3 linked regions of the Tamandua tetradactyla genome follow. The protein of the gene in region 2 interacts with the protein of the main gene of each other region in a pairwise test. Links are inferred from orthologs where the notes say so. Each region holds a gene or a part of one and is shown on either strand. Other genes may lie near its edges. The genes, in order: EIF4A2, PIH1D2 and IGF2BP3.

Region 1 (7,834 bases), on a different chromosome or scaffold from region 2:
ACATCGGTTGGCATTGTGGCAGAAAGCAACACAACCTTAAAAAAAAAAGACAGTGACAATGAAGTTACACTTGTAGGTAGCACAGCTTCCACAAAAATATTCAAGGAAATACCAAGAGTCAAGTTTTGACCCTACAAACAGTTATGCATCCACTGCTTGGGGCAAACCACAGTAACACTCCAGTTACATTGTAACCAAGCAAACCTCCAGCTATAGAACAGGAATTGAAATAAAGTCTCACCTGAATACTTGTATTTAATTTTTGGAAAATCTCATAGATTTGATCCTTAAACCCCCGGCTCAACATTTCATCTGCTTCATCCAAAACAAACATTTTGATCCATTTTGGAGCTGTTAAAAAAATATAAAGGTCATACTATCATCCCTAGATTTTCATGGTTACAATGGACTTTTACCCACCCGACCTAGCAATATTGCATTAAGGACAATACTTACAAAGGTATCTTCTGTTTAACATATCAAACACTCTCCCTGGAGTACCAACAACAATGTGTGGTGCTTCTGCCTGCAGTTTTTGCATTTCATTTCGAACATTGGTTCCACCAATACAGGCGTGACAAGTTGCTCCCATATAGTCTCCAAGAGCCAGAATTACTTTTTGAATCTAAAAATCAAAAGCCTCAATTATTATCCACTAAATTCATAGGCTCTACTAACTTCCAAAACATTTCAACTATCTGGTCTGTAGTTTTGCATGCATAGCACATAACTATCTCCAAGCTTAAAGTGCAGACTGAACAAGTGTTTTAAGATTAAATTTCTGTAAACTGCCTCATTCTTGTACTTGGTCAAAGCTGGAATCCCTATTTCCCGAAAGTACCAATTAGATAATTAAAGAACTGAAAATTTTCTACATTAGTCCTCACGAGTAGGGGGTGATGTAAACAGTCAAACAAGCTCTGCAATTACATCTAATATCATATTATTGATACTTTATAAAATCTCTTCCCATGGGGATACTGTGTCTGGACCTTAATAAAACCTGCTTTATTAGGAAAGTTTACTTCAAAGCCAATATAGCAGTGAGCTTTGAAAACAATAGCATGCAACAGATGCATCACAAACTACTGAGACAGTCAAATAACATGTCACTGCAGTTTTCATGTTGCACAACTGCATTCAAACTTAAAAATGGACACAAATCTAGTGTGCTCGGAATAGAATGCTTTGGCTTATCATCTGTTGGAATACAACCCTGCAAACTGTACCTGTAAACTCAGTTCCTATTTAACTTTCAACAAAAACTCTGCATGCATGGACAACAAGAGTGCCCTGATAGGAGCAATTTATACTGTTTTAAAGTCTTCACAGTTGTGAAACCTGAAACCTATGCAACACGCAAGCAGTTTTTTTGAACTACACTATCAATACCTGTTGAGCCAGTTCTCTGGTGGGGGCCAATACTAGTGCTTGGGTCTCCTTGAACTCAATCTCCAACTGTTGCAGGATGGAAATAGCAAATGTGGCTGTCTTGCCAGTACCTGACTGAGCTTGAGCAATCACATCATACCCTAAAAAAAGTAGGATACATATTTACCGATCCCACATCAAATTGTCACTTCTAGTTCATACCATGTATTCCATTTGGAAAATGAACTATGCCCAAACAAATAAGTGATCAGCAATGAGTATTCTCTTCATTTCAGGTCAGTCCCGAAAGATGATTGCCATCATTTCACTTTAAGGAATACACATACGTGCTAGTCCCCAAGAGATTATTTTCCCTTTTATGGTCCAGGTGCACGCTGAACAATATTCCACTACTTTATGAACACCCGAGTTTTCCTTTACCTTTAATACAGGGAATAATAGCTCTCTGCTGAATAGCTGAAGGCTTCTCAAAACCATAAGCATAGATACCCCGAAGAAGAGATTCTTTTAAATTCATATCATCAAAGTTATCAACAATCTCATTCCAGTTGCTCTGTGAGTTTAAAAAAAAAAAAAAAAGGGCAGGAGTAAATGGGATGAACAAACTCACCTTTCCAGAGTTTCAAAAACCACACTCGTTTCTTACCTCGATGACACCATCGGGGTCCATTCCCTCTGGGCCGCCATGTTCTCTGCTGACAAGAACACCGCGGTTAGAGAAAATCCCTTAAGCCACCGTAACTCAACTGCACCTTAAGGGAATAGCCCTTTTACAGGTAACACTTAACCTCGCCTGTCATCGCACAGTACCCTCTCCTACGTATGTAATTTTCTAATATTTATCCAACTGGAGGTGCAGGTCAAACACACCATGTTCCTTTCCTGAATGGTGAAGTACGTCCGAGGCCCGCACGCGAAGCCCAGACACTGGCCTCTCACTCCAGCCCAGAAGAGAGCTCCCGTTTGGCGGTGGGGCCTCTCGCGAGAGCTTCAACGTTGCGCTCCGCCCCTTACACTGCGCAAGCCACTGTGATTGACACGGTGAAAGAGGCCTGAGGAAGTCTATGCTAACGGTTCGCCCGGACCCTCGTCCTCGGTGCAGCCCCATCCGCCTTCTGCTAGGGCCGAGTGGAAGCTGCCGCCACCCTTCCCCCATTCAAAACCCAGGAACTCAATTCGCGCCGCTGGCCGCACATAAAACTTCCGGTCCCCGTTACACAGAACACAAACCGGACTGCGCCACAGCTTTAAATTAACTAAATGTTTACTGTGCTCAGCGCAAGGGGAGGTGAAAACTGTCATTTCATAACGTCCTTGAAAGGAAAAAAAAGGCGCTTTTTAACCGATCTATTCTCCTGCCCCCGTCTTGTCTCCCTATAATCCGGAACATTAACCATTATGGAAGCTTCCCGAAGGGCACAGGATACTGTACCCCTAAAGATACACCTATGAATTTGGCGTTCCTTACGGGGAAGCCATCTACTACAACCTCCCCTCGTCCCAACACGACCTTCACCACAAACTACTGCCACCAAAAGAGGGCCATACCTGTTGTAATCCGCAGAGCCACCAGACATGATCCGAAAAGCCACTCAGCGCCCGACTGAAAAGACAGCAGAACCGCGCTACCCGTTTTTTATAGGCTCGCGGCCGGAACCCGTTTCCTGCGGAGGAATTTTCTCGTCGCTCTTCGATCGGCCACAAAACTGTGATCCTGAAGCTCCTACCTCATGTAAAACCTTGAGAAAGTACTGGGGGGGAATCCATATTTTGTCATTCTTCGATATTCCAGGGTTGAGGGAATTCCCAGAACCCTTGGGAAGGGCCGGGACTCTTTGCTAAGCGGCGGAAGAATATTGCAGCAAGGGATAGTCAGAGCCCGTTCTCCGTGCCCGCCCTCCTCCTACGGGGTTTCCACGTCCTTGCCGCAGAGGCGGGCCCGAGGGATCGGGGAGGGGCCGAGAGGCGGAAGCGGCTTCCCTGTGGGCGAGTGCGGCCGGGCGAGCACGTTTGCTGCGCATCCTCAGGTGTAGCGGCGACCGCGACACGCGCGTTATGCAGCGAGCCCACGGTCCTTTTACCTGTGTGCATCGCCGTTTAATTTGGTGATAGAAAGTCGCTCGTCCTTTAGCCCAAGGGTTTAGCATCCAGTCAGGTCATCAGAGTGTGAAACTCTTGCTGGGGAAAATGTCGGCATCCCAGCGCGTCCCAAAAAGTCAGGTTTACCAACGAGAAGAAGGTCGTATGTCATTTGCAAGTGTCTCTGGAATAGCCAACTCTGCTTTCCCCGTGTTGCTTCTGGCCTTCTCTCGTTCTCTTTTTAAAATAATGCTGATAGTTGTAACGTAGCAGGTATACGGAATGCCGGGGAGAAATCAGTGTAAACTTTTGTAAATGATTAAAAGCTTAGGGAGAGTGGTTTATAATGCAGGTTTTAAATGGGTGCTTCTAGCACCTTCAGCTCCACGCCGATTTGGAACTAGATGTTTTCATTTCGGTCTATATTGGTCATCTTTTTAAAAGTCTTTCAGTTTTTGAATACTTATGCAGGATGAATGATAAGCTGTTGAAATCGAGAGCGACCGTCTTTGCTACTTAAAGAAATTGCATGATTTTTTAAGCTCCAAAGGTTTTCAGCTGTTGCCCAATCTATCCCCGTTGGTAAAAATAAAAACTACGTTTTGTCGTGTAACTTTAAAGTATAGTCCTTCTGCCAGCACTGCAAGCTAGCATCCCGAATACTCAGGAAAACATTCTCATTAATTCAAAAGGCCAGCCTAAAATCTGATTACTAGAAAAACTGACAACCACTTTTATATATTTTAGAAAATATTTGGCTCTGAATACCACGTGTGTGTTTTGTTTTACAGGACACCATTTATTTTTTTGATATTATGGTGCCAGGAACTGTCACAAAAATTAAAAGGCAGGGAGATGACAAAGTTGACCTGGCCCCCAGTCTAATGACTGCTCATCGTCGGCCCTCAGCCCCGTACGCCCTGCTCCCCTGGTCCCTAGAGGTTTTAAATGGTCTCATCCAAAATCTAAAAATAGCCTGGGATTTAAGAAACTGGTGAAAGTGTTAAATCAGGACAGTGGCAAATCATTTAGTTTTAAGATGAAACCAATCCATCCTAGGGTGAAGTCATAAACAATTAACACCTAATTGCTGAGTGTTTTCTTTAGGTTAAGTGTTAAGGCTAAATGCTACCCATCTCTTAAGAGGAAACAATCAAGAGCTAAATTCTAGAGTTTGTAAGTGCTGGAGAGGTTTTGAAGTAAAAAAAATTTCATTATAGAGTGTAAAGCCAGACCCACAAATGCCTGCAACCCTACACTATATTTCCAATAAACCCTGTGCTTACCAGCTTGCATTTCATCCTTGTTTGAAAAGGTAAACTTTCCTGCTTGCCTAGGATCTAAAATTAGATAGCCTTCTCAAATGCTTTTGGACCAACATGGAATGTGTGAGACCACTTACAGTTGTGATGCTAAAAATTAAAGACTATTTCCTTATATGAGCCATCTAGTTTATTTTTTTATCTTCAGTAGTCTCAGCAGACAATTCTAAACCCATCTAGGCGTTGTATGTCTTGGAACCATCTATCAGTTGTAAGCTGGTGTTTACCAGAGGAACCAAGAAATTATTACAAATTCATCCCTACTTAATGGAAACCCATTACAGCCTTAAAAGAGTATATTTTATATTGGTAGTGACATCTTTCTATAAACGGTGTCTTATCTTAAAGGGATATTTGTGCATCATCTTGGGGCCCATATTATTGTAAGTCCATCAGTCAATTTTCAGTGATAACTACACACTTAAAAAGCAGTACCTTGCCAATCTATTGATAAGCAGAATTTTGTTAAGGTGTATGTTTTGGACCTTTCACTCTTTATTAATTATTAATGTTATTTAGCCAGTAAGTCCCTACATCTATAATTTAACTGATTAAAAAGTATTGCCTAAAGCTAAACAGTGACAGGAGTGCAATTCACCTCTTTTTATTATCTGTTGCTGGAGGAAATCAGTGGCTAAATCTGTTTATGTGTAGAAACTGTCCACAGAAGCAATGTGGAGGGTGGCACGTACTACCATGTCCTTCACAGGAGTTTTAAAAACCATTTGCATGAAAATAAAGACAAAATGGTTGAAGGGAATGGTGAAAATTGGGGGTAGGACCATGGAAAGGCCTGTCGAACTCTGTAAGGACTGGATTTGGGTCCCTTTGCTCAAGGTCATTAAACTACTGTGTAACTAAGAGATGGAGGTATTTCTGCCTCTACCTTTACAGAGACTAAAATAAAGTGACAATATTGTACTTCAAATTAAATTGAAAATTGTGGAATGCATAAAAATCAATGAAAAGATCTGTTCAAAATGCAGATACTTGTGGACTGGGCCCTACCACCCACCCTCCCCCACCCAGATTCACTTGATCTGATCTGAGGTAGGGCCAGCTTTTTATTTGGAAAGTTTTTAAACCTACAGAAAAGTTCCAAGAATAATGTAACAAATGCCAAATTCTTGCTGCATCTACCAATTGATAGGTTTACTATGTTTACTCTTTCTCTCGTATTTATGACTTTTTGCTGACCCTTTTGAGTCACATTCATGGTGACACTTCGGCTTTTATCTTAAAAACGGATATCGTTTCATAAAACCAAGAAAATGCTATTATACCCAATAAATTAACTATTGATATGATGATATTCCCAACAAAGCTATCTATATTCAAAATTTCTGAAATGTCCCAATAATATACTTTATGGCTTTAAAAAGAAATCTAGGATCCCATCAAGCATCACGTATTGCATTTCATTGCCCAGTCTCCTTTAATCTAGAGCAGTAGTTACCCTCTACTATTTTTCTTTTATGACACTGATGTTTTTGAAGATTCCAGACCAGCTTGTTTTTGTTTTAAAATGTCCCGTAATCTGAATTTGTTGTTTTTTTTCGCTTCATTGTTAGATTCAGGTTAAACACATGTTTGGAAAGAATAGTAATTGTAGTTGGTAAAGTTTCCCTTTCAGTTCATTCCATCAGGAAGTACACAATGTCAGATTTCCCTTTACTCCGGTATGATTTTTTTTTTAAATATTTTTATTGACAAATCTTCACACACATACATTTCACCATATGATTTTTTTTTTTTAGGTGCATGGCCCAGGAATCGAACTCAGGTCTCCTGCATGGAAGGTGATCATTCTACCACTGAATCACCTGTGCGCCCTGTGTACAATCAGAAGTTCACAATATCATCATAATGCTGTACATTCATCATCACAGTCAATTTTTGAACATGTTCATTCTCCAAAAAAAATAAAAATAAGAGTAAAAGTAAAAAAGAACACCCAAAACATCCCATTCCCCCACACCCTCCTATTATTCATTTCTTTTTTCTTACTCATCAGTCCATACATTCAATAAAGGGAGTGTCAGTCACAAGGTTTACACAAGGTTTTAGTCACACCTTGAAAGCTCTAAAGTTATTCATGAATCAAGGCTACGATATGGCAGTTCAACAGTTTCAGGTATTTCCCTGTAGCTACCACAGTACACCCAAAACTGAAAAGGGATTTTTTTTTTGCATAAGCGTAACGTCCAAACTCTCAGCCACTGAAACATATCAACTCTAATTCTATATTTGAGCTGCTAAAACCATCAACAACAAGCAAGAATTAATTATATTGGATGACAGTTCAACAGTTTCAGGTATTTCCCTCTAGCTAGTGCAGTACAACCAAAACTGAAAAGGGATATCGATATTCTGCATAAGAATAACCTCCAGAATGGCCACTTGGCTGTGTTTGAAATATCTCAGCCACTGAAACTTATCAATGCTGATCCTTTATCTGAGCTATTAAAACCATCAACAACAAGCAAGAAATAATTATTAAGGTGTATAGGGTAGTGCTGGGCCCTTGCAAGCATTAAGATTAAAAGGGCACAATTCTCACTTTGGATACAGTTGAGAAAGTAAAATAAAAAGAGAAGAAATAACTTAGAAAATTTATCAATTAGGTTAACAAAGATTAGAAAGTTTGACAATACTTAGTGGGCAAACAGATACTGTAGTACTTTTGGTGGACGTTTAAACTAGTGTAATATTTTTTAGGATATTCTGGCAATATGAAGAATTAAAATGCACATGTCCTTTGACCCAACACGTCCAGTTAGGTATTTTATCCTATACGTGAACTATCACAAGAATCCTTTCCTCTACCCTACCTTTACTATATCCTCGACTTCTGCAATCAACAAGCATATTCCCTTTCTCAGTATTTTAACAACAAAATACTAGAAACAAGTAAATGTCTATAAAAAAGATATTGGTTAAATAAATTGTACGCCATGCATATACTTAGCCGTTAAAAAGAGGTCCACTTCTCTAAGCCTACCTATAGTTATGAATAAGAATTACTTCCAGAGGATCTCTTC
Region 2 (7,658 bases):
GGGAGAGAGTGATTTGGAGTCGTTCCTCAATGCATTTCATAGCCATTTGTATCAGCTGGTCCCTTTTCTTCTGGTCCTTTTCTGCTGCCTGGAGAACATCAGGATTGTAGGCAACATCGATGACTGTGAAAACATCTGTGTGTTTAATTTGGAGGGTGTGAAATGAAGACAACTTGACCTGTTTTCATTAATGATATTATCAGGTAATATATTAAATCATAATCTTGATAAAACTAGAAAGTAAATTCCATTCCTGTATTTTTTCAAAGGCAATCACAATGGTTCTATATACATTATATTCCAATTAGGGCATCTCTTGGCATTTTTACATGGGTTAAAAACTTGTCATATTGCTAGAAAAACTTAACAAAAAGGCATTCAATTTGCATAAAGGTATACTAATATGTCATAAACTACATTATCACCAAATAAAATATTTTAACTTGAAGTGTCTTTTATCAAAATCTGGCCCATTGTTTTGCCAAAAAGATTTTTCAAATGTGCTTCCTCTCCCATAATTCTGCCTACCTGATGTCTCAGACATATCTTCTGGCCTGCCGATACTTAAAGGTACTGGATGAGTGTTTGATTGGGGAGCTGGAATTCTTTTCCACTGGCATAGGTTGATAAAAAGTATTTTTTCTCTTGGTTTCTAGAAAGCAAATAATTTTGCATATTTCAAAATGTAGTTTGTTATTTTAAAATAATATCCTAAAGGCAGCTCATCACAGAATTGTAAGAGGTAGAATTTTAGTCTCCAGGTTAGTCATTTCACATGTTAATTGCTTTGTTTGTTTATAAATAACAAACACACAAATGTTCTTGACGTGGTTACAATCAGTGGCTCACAATATCATCACATAGTTATGTATTCATCACCATGATCATCTTTTTTTTTTTTAAACATGGGCAGACACCGGGAATTGAACCTGGGTCCTCTGGCATGGCAATGATCATCTTTTTGAACATCTGCATCTCTCCAACAAGAGAAAAAAGAAAAAAGTCATGCATGCCATACCCCTTACCCCTCCCTCTCATTGACTGCTAGTATTTCAATCTACTCAATTTATTTTAACTTTTGTTCCCCTATTATTTATTTCTTATCCATATTTTTTGCTCATCTGTCCATACTGTAGATAAAATGAGTATCAGACACAAGATGTTAAAACTGTTTTTTTTTAATTAAAAAAAATTTTTTTAAACATAACATACAAACACAAACATTCCCATTTTTGGTATATAATCAATAACTCACAATATCACATAGTTGTATATTCATCACCATGATTTCTTAGAACATTTGCATCAATTCAGAAAAAGAAATAAAAAACTCATACATACCTCTTACTCCTCCCTCTCATTGAGTGCTAGTACTTCCATCTACCCAATATATTTTAGCCTTTGTTTCCCCTATTTTTTTCTATACTCCTTACCATTCCCTTTCATTGATCACTAGTATTTCAATCTACTCAATTTAACATTTGTTCCCCCTATTATTTATTTTTAATCCACATGGTTAAAGTTTTTTGATAAATTACACTCTTGCTTTCTTGATTTCCCAAAAGCTGCTGTCTTTTCACTAAGAATCCAGTAACTGAACCCAGAAAGGAACTCGGGTGGAGATGTGGTGAGGGAGGAGGGAATTGATCTAATCTAATAATTGTAGATTATTTCACTTGACCCTATCACATCACTTCTTAACTGCACCAACTAAACAGTTATCTTTATTTGAAAAAGCTCCAATTCCATGATTCTCCTTTAAATTATTACATTACTTTCTCTTTTCATTCTAGACCTCATTTGACATCTCCAAAATATAACAAGTATGAATACCACTCTTACTTCTCAACACAATCTTCCACACTACTTTTCATTTTCTAGAATGGCAGTTTCTCTTCAATTTTCTTGTGTTTATGTGGCAATAGCTAAGGGTATGCTATCCTCTGGTTATTCCAGAATCATTTTGTTCAGCACTTTCCCAGCCATGACACCAACTCTACACACCAGGATCTTCGTCTGTAGACACAGCTGTGGTTCTGGGGCAGCACAGAACTGTTTCCCCTCTTTCAGCTGCCATTTAATGAACTTGTCATAGCGCTCAGGGTCACTTTCAGCCAGATCATCTAGAAGGTTCCAGAATTGAGTAATTTGGGTAAACAGACCCTTTGAGGATGCGTCCATGATTAATGATGGTGAACAGGTCTCTTAAACCTGTGGAAAGACACGAGTTAAGGGGGAAAAAATCTGCGTGGGTAAGTCATTTCTACTTTGGGGGGAGGGAGGACAGGTATCAGCTACCTTAACATCTGTGTCTCAAAGATTGTGGCTTAGCGCTGCTATCTTTTCCTTATTTCCTATTCAGCACCCCTTCCTAATTCTCAAGTCATCAAAGATAAGGCCTTACCCCTATTTGGAATCTCACAAGCCTAGAGATGGGAGAGGAGACACTTTCAGTTTGGGTTTCTGGCTCTCTTCCTGTTCCAACACCTGTGTATCCTTAATTGCCGGCTCCCCAGTCCTGGAGTTGGCAGAGGTGCGTGTGGGGTGAGGTCCATTGGAAACTTCGGTATAGCTTAGTAGATAAAAGCATGGAATCTGGAGCCAGAAGGTTAAGCTTCTAATCTTAGCTCTATCACTAGATGGATGACCTTGAGCAGTTACACACACACACACATTATATATATATATATTATATATATAATATATATTATATATATAATATATATATTATATATATAATATATATTATATATATAATATATATATATAATATATATATAATATATATTATATATATATTAATATATATATATATTATTATATAAAATATATATATATATTTTGTTAATAATATATATTAGGTGATTCTCAAAATGAAGACGATAATAAAATGCCTATCTCAAGGAGTTACTTGCAGGATTGAGTAAACTAATATATATATATAGATTTACACTTGGTAAACGCTAAATGAAAGTAAAAATACCCTTTCTAGATCTTGGAATATCACGTCCCCCACTCCTACCCTATTTCCTTCCCTCCGCGTCCACTGGAGAGGAGTCCCATACCACCGACTGAGGCTTCGAATACTGTATGAGATAAGGCTAAATAGGAAACTTAACTTTGGGCAATCATTCCAGAGGCCGGTGAATCCACTTCCCTCGGATCCTTGACACACAGCGCGGCGCCTGTTACCAGGGTAACCAGGCTGGGCGCAACGCTTAATTGGGTCCGGGAAGCACCAGTCAGAAAGTTCTCCTTACTTCCAGTTCCGGAATCTCACTCTTCCGGTCGTGGGTTCACTTTTCTGCCGGGTCTGACCCACTTCTCTTCCAGAAAAGCGCCAGCCTCCCACTTGCATCCATCGACCTCTGGAGTATCCTGTAAATTCTATCTGTGACACACTCTGTGCCAACCATTGGTGGGAAGAATTTCTCAGGAGCACGACTTCCGGCCTGAAAGGGAAGCCTCCTCCTTTTTCTCCCAGATCGCTTCCTCCCCCCACCCCCGCCACGCGAGGCTGCGGCGCACGGTATGGGTGTGTTTGTGTGTATTTGTGTGGGGAGGGCGTTTGGAGGGGAGGTTACCGGGAGCTCCGAGGCCGTTGGCCGCTGGGTGGCGGGGATACCGGTGATAAAGATGGGGGTATTTTCTCTGTCTTCCTCTTGGAGACCTCAACCTCCCCGTCAGGCCCTCTAGATACTTCCCGGGGCCCAGCCGAAAAGTCATACTTATCCAGAACGTCCCCGTCCTTATCTGGGGAGCAAAACTCAGTCCCCGGGTCCATCCCAGCGGAGCCTGAGCGGGGAAAGCCGACCGGGCCGTCCAGATTCCGCTCCAGCGCAAGCTCCGGCCTCGCTTCGGGAGAACTGCCTGTCGGTCTGGGCTGGGGGAAAGGCAGCCATGCCTGGGCCACGGGTGAGGGCATAATAACCGGTGGGAAGGCTGCGTTTTCACGAAGGACTCGGGTGAAGCTGCAGAGCTGCCTTTGAGCCCTGACTCCTTGGCTTCCTGGGTCGGAGGAGATCTTGTAATGGAGTGGTTCTTCGTCTCACACTAACAAGATGCCTGATTTCCTCAGGATCGAGGGGTGAGTGAGCTATGGGGTGGTTGCACAAAGCCCCTGCTAGCTAACACGTTAATATCTTTGTCCTCTAGAAGTTGGAAGCTTTTGCACAAAATAGGAAATAAAATTTCTCTGAAGGAAGAAATTTAGGGTATCTCTGCATCTGATGTTTCCAAGAGTCAGTTTTTATATTTGTTGACACTTGTAGTCACTGACACTTTTAAATTTAGATATTTGCTTCATTGCAAATTAATTTTGGGAATCAAGAATTTTCTAATTTGGATCTTTATATATACGTTGCTTGCCTGAGACTCTCTGGCCGACAAGTTAGGGCTTTCAGGAAAGTTGATCTGTAAAATAGGGATGAAGATAACTTGCCTCATATAAAACACATAGTTATTGTGAGGATGAATGAAATGGTGCTCATGTCATCTTGAGCAATTTCAAAGAACTTTAAGGAACACTATCTCCTTTCATCCTCACACTAGTGTTGTCAGGCATTTTTCCCTTTTATTTGTGAAGGAAAACTCTTCCTCAGGGCATCTGACTCATAGTTCAGTGATTTTACCTTACCTCATGCTTCTTTATTTAATTGTAATAAAAAATAAGGTAATAGAAATCGTTATTAAATGTTATTTATTGATTCATTTCAGATTGAAGAATGTCCCGGGTTCCTTTGGGGAAGGTCCTCCTGAGGAATGTCATCCGGCACACAGATGCTCACAATAAGGTGGGAGGGACAACCCAGCCATTCCTTAACACTTACTGAAGGCATACAATGTGCCAAGCAGTATTTTGGCACAATTGGGGAGTACAAAGATGAATTAGATAATTACAGTACATTTTGATATATACTATAATAGAGTCATATGCAAAGTGCTTTAGGGTACTGAGGAAGGAGTGATGAATAATGAAATCTGCTTTTAGGAATTAGAAAGGATTTCACAGAAGGGGTAGTTTTTGAGTTGTTGAAAAGTGAACTAGGTCTTGGTAAATGGGTACAAGTTTTACCAGGTAAAGGATCCTCCTGGACAGAGGGAACTATTATGTGCCCGAATGAAATTGAATGTGTCTAACCTGTAGAAAATTACAGAGATGAGGTCTGAGTGGTCAGTTAGATTTTGAAGAATCAGATTTTGAAGAAACTTCTGTGTGATGCTTGGGAAATTTTAGGTGTTTTCCTCTAGGCAATAAAGAAGCATCAGATGTTTTAAGCAGGGCATGACATAATCATATTTGTATTTTTGAAAGGTGATTTGTCAGCTGGGTAGGGATAGATCAGATGGGTAGAAACAGTAGTGAGACAAATTAGGAGTCAGTTGCAGTTCCAGGTGAGAGATGATGAGGGCTCAAAAGAAAGCTGTGACAGTGGGTTGAAGAAGAGGAATTTAGGAAATAAAATCCAAAGAACCTGGTGACTGATTGGATAATAGTAAAAAGAATGGCCAGCTTGTGTATCTAGGTGGATAATGATGCTATTTTTTGTTTGTTTGTTTGCTGTATGGTGAGGGTCACATTTCATTTTTTTTCCACACAAATATCCCATTATTACAGCACCATTTATTGAATTTTTCTGAGGGGGGGTGAGGAGTGCACTGCCCGGGAAATGAACCTGGGTTTCCCACATGGCAGGCAAAAATTCTACCTCTAAACTACCCTTGTAACCCCACTATTTTTTTAATGCAATTTTTTGAGATATATTATATATTCACATGCCATATAATCGTCCAAAGTGTACAATCAGTGGCTCACCGTTTCGTCGTACAGCTGTACCTTCATTACAGTGGATTTTTGGACATTTTCATTACTCCAAAAAAAGTAAAAATAAGAATAAAAATAAAAGTAAAAAAGAACGCCCAAGGCATCCCATCTCCCCAATCCCTTATTATTTATTTATGTTTTGTCTCTATTTTCTTACTCATTGATGATGCTATTGATTAAGATAGGGAACAGAAGAAAAGGGACAGGTATGAAGTGGGTAGTTAGTTTGACTTTGAACATGTTGATTGTGAGGTGCTTATAGAAGATCCAAAAATAGTTGGAAATTCAGATTTGGCAGAAAGGAGAAAACTTGGAGCTGAACATAAAGGATAGGAAATTATTGATGTAGGTAAATGTTAGAAGTCATGAGAGTAGATAAGGTCACCTACGGAAAGCTTGTATACTGAAAAGAGAACCAAGGATCCTTGTTTGATTTCAGTGAATTGTATTACTCTTGGTTTGATCATAAATGTTATTACTATTATATTACCTGATAATTTGAGTAGTGTGAGGATATAACTGTTACCCAAGCAGCATCTCCAATTGTGCTAATCTGTCGCTACTTATAGGGTAAGCTTACATTTCAAAGGGGATCTAGCACAGTTTTTACAAAATGATGCAAGAGGACTTAGAATTAAAATGTATTCTTGTTCTTTGGCAATTTTAGTCTGCTTTTTTTTTTTTAATTTTTATTATGTTGCATGTAGTCTGCTTTTCAAGAAATTCTCTTATAACCATGCTGTTTGTTTTCTTTTGTTTTTGACAAGTACAATATTATGAAAAGAAACTTAGTGTAGACTTTAAAGACCTATTTTTTGACATTGGCAAATCATTTAATATCTTTGAGCTTTTTTCCTTCTCAGTAAAACGTAATAATCATACCTCCTTTGCTTCCTTCATAAGATTGCTTAAGATTCAATTGAGATGATAAATTAAAACAATTATGCATCTTAGAAATATAGGATTATCAGTTGCATTGCAAAACAAGTGCAAAATTGATGAAGTGATAAGTGTGTATATGCAGGGTTTTTTTTGGCATGTTATTGAGATATATTCATAAACCATACAAACCATCCAAAATACACAGTCACTGGCTCATATAGTGTCATTATATAGTTGTGCAATCAACCCCATGAACAGTTTTTTAAAAAATATTTTTATTGAGAAATCTTCACACACATACAGTCCATACACGGTGTACCATCAGTGGCTCCCAGTATATTACATAGTTGTGTATTCATCACCATGATCATTTTTTAAAATATTTGCATCACTCCAGAAAAAGAAATAAAAAGAAGAAAGAAACAACTCATTCATCCCATATCCCTTACCCTTTCCTCTCATTGACTTCCATTTACCCAATTTATTTTTACGCCTTATCTCTTTTATTATTTATTTTTCAGCCATATTTTTTTACTCATCTGTCCATATCCTGGCCCATGATCAATTTTAGAACATTTTCATCACTCAAGAAAAGAAATGAAAATTAAAAACCCAAATCTCCCACATCCCTTATTTCCCCCTATTATTGATTGGTGTAGTACGTTTGTTACTCTTGATGAGTGAGTATTAAAATATTACTGTTAACTATTGTCCATAGATTATAATAGGTTTTTTCCCATAAACTCCTCTGTTATTAACTCCTTATGCCATAAATGCGTTCTAGTTCATGAAAGAACTTTTTTATATTTGTACACTTAATTGCAGGAATTGTCCACCATAGGATTCACTTGTTATAAGTTCTCCTGTTTTGAACTTCAACTTTCCTTATGTGACATATGTGACTTTACATGTCTCCTTTTTACCGCATTCACACACTATTCAGCACTTTTAA
Region 3 (7,200 bases), on a different chromosome or scaffold from region 2:
CTTATGAAAATGCTTTTCCTGTAAGAGTTCAATCTCTCTGGAAACACACAGGTATATAGATAACATCTTCAGTAACCATCTATCTCTTCAGAGCACCAGGGAAAAGCATAGCAACCCCTCCTGCCCTCCAATGCACACAAACCCCTGGCTATCAATAACTAACCAGGTACTTTCTGCAGCTCTCCTTTAACTTGGAGGTAACTGCTTGGCTCCGGTTGGGAATGAGAAGCAGGAGGCTGAAAGACAGAAACCGTAACACCACCTTGGAAAACCCAGGAAACCACAGGCCAACCCCAGGGCCACTGGGAGAATACTGCACCTTTCCAGTTAGTTACACAGCTGGGATCTGGTCTGCTCTTGAGAAAGGAGCCATTTCTCCCAAATACTCCAAAGGCTAAAACAAAGTCTCCAAACACTGTAAATTGGCACACTACACGTTCTCGAAAAGAATTCCCCGGCTTTTAGGTAGAGCAAACGTTTGATCTTCACGATCTCTTCGTGGTTATTTGCAAGCAAAATTATCAATAAAAAAGGAAATCAGGAAACAAGGGCAGTGTTTGCAGAAACCTGTACAACTCTGGCGTGAAATCGCTTCTGAGCTGGAGAAGCTCAGGCTTTCACTCACGTGTTCCAAACCCGGCTGGCGAGCTAACAGAGAAAAAGCAAATTCCTCTTCCCGCAGACGTGTAGACGGCCTCCCAGACTCAACGCTGCCAACTCCGGCCACCTCCGCCAACACCCGCGCGTTTCTGCAGCTGCTATGCCTATGCTATAGACATCAGAGTCATTCACTGATTCCTAAATTCTGCAGGTTCCCAAAAAACTCCCCCTGGAGTCTTTCATTTCCCGTGGTAGCAATCTGGCCTGCTCTGGATAACACTTAGCTGTGAGAGCTTCCTTGAAAGATTTCTATACTCAATAACAATAGTTCAGTTGCAGGGGATAGAGACAACCCCTCTATTTCCTCGCAGCATTACACTTAGACACACACAGAGACACACACACACACACACACAACCGCAAGGGAAAAAAAGACGAAAAACACCAAACCATACAGCAGCCCGATGAATATAAAAAGTTGTTTTCAGCTGTGTGGCGAGTCTTTCCTTCCAATAACGAATGAGACCAGAATTTAAAAAAACAAAAAAACAAAAAACTCACCTTTGTCTTTTGGGGACCGAGTGTTCAACTTCTATGAGTTTCCCATGCAGTTCCACTTTACCTGCAGATACACAAGCGGTGGGAGACGGTTGCTCGCCGAGCCCGAGGGACTAGCACCGCCTGCACCGCGACGAGTGGCCCTAGAGCCCAAATGACCGCAAGCCCGAGAGCCGCTGGGAAGCTGGAAACAGCGCGTGTGGGAAGCTGACCACCCCCTAGTTGTGTTGTTTTGTTTAATTTACAGATGAGTGGGGAGGGGGCATTAACCGGACGTGCCAACACTTAGACATTTTTTACCCCACCGCCCAGGCCTCCCCCGCCCACTCAAGGAGGTCACCCAACCCCACAACACCCACAAGATGGACGCTGCTCCTCTTCCCATCTCCCAAGACGCTCCTGTATGACAAGCTCGGGACCGGGGGGGGGGGGGGGGGGGGTGTCAATTCCATAGGCTTTCTTTGGGGGGTGGGGGGTCGGGCCCTTCTCCCAAGTTCCTTCTCAGGCCCGCCGGGAACACTTGGCTGTGGGGTTCGGGAGGACGAGGAGTGGCGGGAAAGGTTCGGGGGCCGCAGGATAGAAGAGCGAACTTGCATCTCAGTCTAGAACGAACATCGCGCCTACGACAGCGTGCTTGCTGCATCCAGACCAAGCCGATCAAGGGGAAAGCGAAAGGCACCGGGCTCCCAGGGGGGCCCCTACGCAGCCTTCCTCATTCAGTGTCCCGCCCCAGCCCGCCGCCGGGCCACGCACGGTCTCCCGCCCTCGGCTGGCGTGACCGGCGCGCCGCCACCTCCCGCAGGCCGCAGCCCCGCGCCGCTGCAGTGGGGGTGTTCCCCCCCTGGCCACAGCACGCCGCTCCCGCCCACCTGCCCCTCTACTTCGTCGGACAGGGTGAGGTTGAAAATGGAAACCAGGTCGCACCCCTCCTCCCGCAGGGTCGAGAGGAAGCGCGGGGTAGCTTGTGCAGAGCTCCAGCGCTGCGGCCTCGCTCCGCAGCAGGGTCGAGGCCCCTTTCCTTTCTCCCACGGGCAGGCTCTGAGGCGAGCAAGGGGTGCGGACAGCGAATCCAGCGCCATAAAAAACGACCGGAGGAAGGAAGAAGCAGGCGTTCGCACTCGGCCCCCAAGGCCCGGCACGCCCGAGTCTGGAGAACGCGTCTGGGCCGGGCGGGGCGCGCTGGGAGCGCTGAAGGGGGTGCAGTGCTGGCGGCCGGGCGCCCCCACCCCGCTCACGAACTCCACAACCAGCCCCCGCACCGCTCCTAGCCCCGGCCGGGGCTTTCTTGACAGCGTGTTGCCCTGCACCGGGCAAATGCCAGGTAGCGAGGAGAGCAAGCCGCAGCAGGGAGCGGAGTTGGAGCCCAATCTTAAGAAAGCCCCACGCATGTGGGCGCTCGGGCCTCACCCCCTCGACCGTGCGCTCCCAGCCCTCGCTGGGCCTGGGCCCGGGCGTAGACGCCCCGGCAGCAGCCGCGGGCCTGGCTCCGAGCACCGACCCCGGCGGGCCCGGGCCCGCAGAGCAGAACTGGGGGCAGGCGCCCCTGCAAGGCCAAGCCAGGGCCGCGGTCAGGGCCCACCTGAAAGCGTCTCGATGGCCTTGAGGGCCCAGCTCTCGTCAGGGCAGTCCACGAACGCGTAGCCTGTCTTCACCAGGAAGGGTCCCGACACCGGAATCTTGGCGTCCTTGAAGATAGTTTCTAGGTCCGAGGGGACGGTGTTCTCGCTGAGGCTTCCGATATACAGTTTGTTCATTGTGAAGATTGATTGTTTAAAAAAATGAAGAGAAAAACGAAAAATTAAAACCACCCACGGCGATGGATGGATCCGGCGGGTTTTGTTCTTCTCGTATTCTCGCCTTTAAAATACACAAACACTGTAAAAACCAAGGCCAAGAACGAGGAGCGAAAAATCAGATCCGAAGGTTCTTGTTTCTCCTTTACTAGGTATTAAAAAAAAAAAAAGAAAAAAGAAAAAGCCTTGCTACCAACCCATACGTATCGACGAGTCTTTCCTAACTCTAAAGAGGAGGCGGGATTAGCGAGAGAAGGGAGGAGGGGTGGGGGGAAACTACTTTTTGTCTCTTCCTCCCCAACCCTTTTGGCTTCGGCCAGCGGACTGTGAAAATATCACACTACGTGAGGGTAAGCGCCGCCTCCCCATAAAAAACCCAGAAGGGTGACTGGCAGGAGGGAGGGGAGAGGAGGGGGGGAGGAAGGAGCTGGAGGCGGAAAAAATCCGCTCCGAGTGTCCGGCTTTTTGAATGAGCCACGTGTTCAAACTACAAATCAACGTCTCACGTGAGGAATCCCAGCGCCTCAATTAGAGTGGGTTTCGGGGGAAAAAAAAAGAGAGGGGGGAGGGGAAACGAGATTAAGCGAAAAGACCCTGAGAAGGGGGAGGAGGAAGAGGGAAAAAATGCTAAAGGAGCTGCAGCCGGGGCGCGGTGGGGAGCGGGTTGTCATTGCCCGAGTTTAGAAAGGGTTATCTGATCGGGGCGGTTCCTAGGGGGAGGGGGACGGCCGGATATTTTTTTTTTAAGAAGGAAAGCGGTGGGAGTGCTAACTAGGCGATTCCTCGGCTCTAACTTGCAGAGTTTTGATCATTCGATTTTCTAAAATAGGAAATTAACAAAAGCAAAGAGTCACAATCCCGAACTCGCCTTGTGGCCTTGATGACGGTGTGAGTGAAACCTCGGCCAAGCAGCCAGCGCCTTTCCAGGGCTGGTGGGGGTGGGGGTGGGGTGGGTGGGGAAGGGGGAGACTGGCAGGAACGCCCCACTGTCTCCAGCCTTGCCGGGACGGGGCTCCGGGGAAGTGGGGGCGCGGGCGGCGGGGCGGTGGGGGATGGGAGCCCGCGGCGTCCAGGGCGGGCGTCTGGGCGACCCCTCCTCCGCCTCTGCCGGCGGGCGCTCGCGGCTCCGCGTCTGCTATTGGTTTGAAGAAGGCTCCGGGATAAATGAGGCCGGGGGGCGGGGGCGACCGCTGGTGGGGGAGGGGAGGGCAGAGGGGCGGAGGTTCTTTGCGTGGTGATGGGGTGGCCGGGGCTTTGGAGGCCGGAGGAGAGAAGTCGAAAGTGGGAAAAGTCGGTACTTAAAGGGAAACCATCCCTTCCAGTAGGTCGTGGGGGAGTGGGGGGGGGGGGGCGGGGGGCGGGGGGCGGGGTTGGAGTACGCTCTAATGATATTTAAATCATTTTAGTTAGAGAACTTGGAACTCTTAAAATGGGAAGACAGCAACGCGTTACCCCTAGGTGTTAATGGCGCTTGAGAAATTGTTCGCGTCTCTTTCTGCTGCTGTTCTGCCCACATTTGGCCGTGAGAGTCATTCACAATTTTCCCTGTGTGTAACGAGTACAATGGTGGGTTTGTGGGGGGAGGGTCTGGGCCCGGTGGAGCCTTTAGGAGCCAACGAATTGTGGAATAGAGATGAAGACTACGGAAACGAAGGCAGAACGAGGTTCTTGTGGAAATCTCGAAGTGTCGCTTCATAACTGGGTACTCCACTCAAAGGTTTAATTTGTGCCAGATCCTTGTGGTATATTTTTACAGGTATCCCATGGAAAAATTAAAATGTTAATTTTTAAAAAGCGAATGAAATTCTATATAGCATGGAAATAAAAACAAGAATATTTAATCGCTTGGTACTCTTATTGGTAGAAAAATGTATTGTGTAACAGGAAATATTGTGATTTACACTAGAAACATCTTACTACTCCTTGATGTAATTCGTTTCTTTGACAAAAACTGTACATAACATTTAAACGTATGTATTTTCCAAAGGTAAGAGATGAATGGCATATTATTTTTTAAAGGGATGGGGGAAAGTATTGCATGATGTAAAGCTTTTACATTTTGTCTTTTTAAAGGAATTTATTTTATGATTTTGTGTTATTAAGTAACCGGAAGGTGTCAGATCATCCATTTTAAGTGCAACTCTTTTAACAGGTTTTTTTTTTCCCTGCCAAGCAAACCCAACTTTTTAAACGTAAACTCACTTTCACAATATTTTCATTCACGTTTAATTTGGTGAAATGCTTTTACTTTATGAGCTGAGGGGGACAAATGTGTTCTTAAGTGTTTAGAAATGTATTAATGAACTCTTTCTTGAAAGAACATCTCTAAGTTTATAGTTAGGTTTAACTTTTTTAAAGGGATTTCGTATTTTTCCTTTTCATGTCTTTTTAAAAGAGAAACTTGGTTCTAAAAAAGAAAAACATATATGTATTCTTCCTTATGACTTCTTATGCAAGTGTAAATACTACCAAACTACAAATTTATTTTTCATTTACCTGTTGCATGTGATTAAAAGTTATTTGGAGAAGTAGGTTCTTCATTAATATTTGCTATTCTAAATTCCACTTAAATTTTATAAACTAACAATTCAATTCTTTTACTAATTTTTCATAAGAACAAATTTTATGTTCAGTTTACTTCCAAAGTAAATTAACTTATGGATTGCTAACTGTATTTGCTCTTATTAAAATTGAGAACTAAGGAAATATCTACCTCTGAACCCTGTATAAATCGTTTATTTTCCATAAATACTAGCTCATGCTTGTCTATCATTATCAAACACGTCTAACAGCTGGAATTTAAAACAAGTGTGTGCTACTTAGAAATATGGTCCTGGCACACTTGTGAACTTAATCTGTGTATTATTATAACAAACTAGATACTCCGTATAGGACCTTAAAAACATACACTGGTTACATAAGCTCAGACACCAAAAAGGGGGGTGAATACAATCCACTCCATTTCAAGCATTTGAAGGATATGTATAAACTCAGTGGCTGAGTAAAGAGGATATTGGGTTAGGGGTTTTTTTGTTTGTTTTTTGGCACTTCAAATGCAAAAATATCTCTGGTACATTAAAAATGGATATAAAATCAGTTTAATTTACAGCCTTGTAATGTGTTTCACACCAGAAATTAACAGTTTATGGGCTACTCCAAGTACTTCCTGAAACAGTTGTACTTCCTAATTAATGTTAATTTCACGAAGAAAGGACTCCTACCCATGCCATCTACTCTTAAATGCGACTGAGATTTTCCAATTGGAGCCTGTTGACTCTTTAAACAGCTGCACTCCCCCTTATCTGCTGATCTGGGGGCAAGAAAAATGTTTCTTACAGGTCAAGGTAATATTAAAGGAGAAAAACTATATTAAGAGGTCGGTTACCGTTGCTGTAGCCACAGGTTACCTATCGGTGAAGGTTGAGCAGGCAAAGGAAGGGGAAAGGGTATTCCCACCCCTCCTTCCTCTCGGCTGCCTTAAGGCCAGCCTGGAGCCGAAGCCCTGCGCGCGGGGTGGGCACACAATGGAGGGCCTCACAGGAGGCATTTCAACTAGTTATTTCTTCCACCAGTCCTCCTGGACTCTGATCTGTTCAAACCAGAAGGCATGATGATAAGTGGTATCCTGGCTCAGCCCTCTCTCTGGAATGTGCTTTCATTTATTTAAAATAAAATAAAATGGTGCCCTAGGAGATGAGAAGAGGGATTGTTTCCCTTTTCCTCTGGATCTGACCAGAGAAAGAGGGCGTGATCCCTGCGGTTGACACTGGGCTAGGTCCTTTGTCGCCGCCTGCTCGCCGGGAGAACCTTGACCACTGGGCCGCCCTTTTCCCAGCGCTGCCGCCGGACAGCCGGCTTCTGATTCTGCCTTGGGTCCTAGCCCTCCGCGCGGACCCACGTGGCCGGGTTAGATGTGAGAGCCGGGGGAAGTTTCGCTCACTCTCCCCGCGGCACGTCCACTCCTGAAGTCCTGCTGCCCGCCACGCCCGCCCGCGGGCCGCGGGGACGCACCAGGCGGGGTCCGTTGAACACCCCTCCCGCACCTCCGGCTTCGTTTCCGCGTGTGCGGGGGCAGCCCGGCGGTCAGGGATGCTTGGTACCCACCGAGACAGGGCAAGAATTGGTCGCTGAACCCTGCGCCTCTGCCTAGGACCGGGCGGGACCGCGAGACCCGCGCGCAGAAGTGGCCCCGGGGCGGGGCCAGCGCTCCCCGGGGCGTACTCGCCGAGACCAAGTTAAGCAACCGGCG

The links.
Region 1: the proteins of PIH1D2 (region 2) and EIF4A2 interact in binary tests that used the Homo sapiens proteins (3 or more experiments, as listed by UniProt). The two-hybrid records come from large-scale screens. The link is inferred for Tamandua tetradactyla from reciprocal best matches to the Homo sapiens genes PIH1D2 and EIF4A2.
Region 3: the proteins of PIH1D2 (region 2) and IGF2BP3 interact in a two-hybrid assay, tested with the Homo sapiens proteins (2 studies listed by BioGRID and IntAct). The two-hybrid records come from large-scale screens. The link is inferred for Tamandua tetradactyla from reciprocal best matches to the Homo sapiens genes PIH1D2 and IGF2BP3.

The regions. Positions count from the first base shown.
Region 1 is NC_135336.1:5,774,127-5,781,960, reverse strand, and holds the start of EIF4A2 (eukaryotic initiation factor 4A-II), read right to left. Parts: upstream 3,270-7,834; 5' UTR 2,970-3,269; coding exon 2,941-2,969; intron 2,088-2,940; coding exon 2,039-2,087; intron 1,946-2,038; coding exon 1,813-1,945; intron 1,703-1,812; exon of another isoform or gene 1,634-1,702; intron 1,533-1,633; coding exon 1,393-1,532; intron 626-1,392; coding exon 457-625; intron 352-456; coding exon 242-351; intron 36-241; coding exon 1-35. UniProt on the Homo sapiens protein: ATP-dependent RNA helicase which is a subunit of the eIF4F complex involved in cap recognition and is required for mRNA binding to ribosome.
Region 2 is NC_135334.1:29,177,601-29,185,258, reverse strand, and holds the start of PIH1D2 (PIH1 domain-containing protein 2), read right to left. Parts: upstream 3,230-7,658; 5' UTR 3,121-3,229; exon of another isoform or gene 3,023-3,120; intron 2,214-3,022; 5' UTR 2,182-2,213; coding exon 2,005-2,181; intron 653-2,004; coding exon 529-652; intron 136-528; coding exon 1-135. Other genes in the region: uncharacterized protein NKAPD1, read left to right, coding at 4,725-4,793.
Region 3 is NC_135327.1:100,249,511-100,256,710, reverse strand, and holds the start of IGF2BP3 (insulin-like growth factor 2 mRNA-binding protein 3), read right to left. Parts: upstream 3,257-7,200; 5' UTR 2,913-3,256; coding exon 2,738-2,912; intron 1,223-2,737; coding exon 1,162-1,222; intron 1-1,161. UniProt on the Homo sapiens protein: RNA-binding factor that may recruit target transcripts to cytoplasmic protein-RNA complexes (mRNPs). This transcript 'caging' into mRNPs allows mRNA transport and transient storage.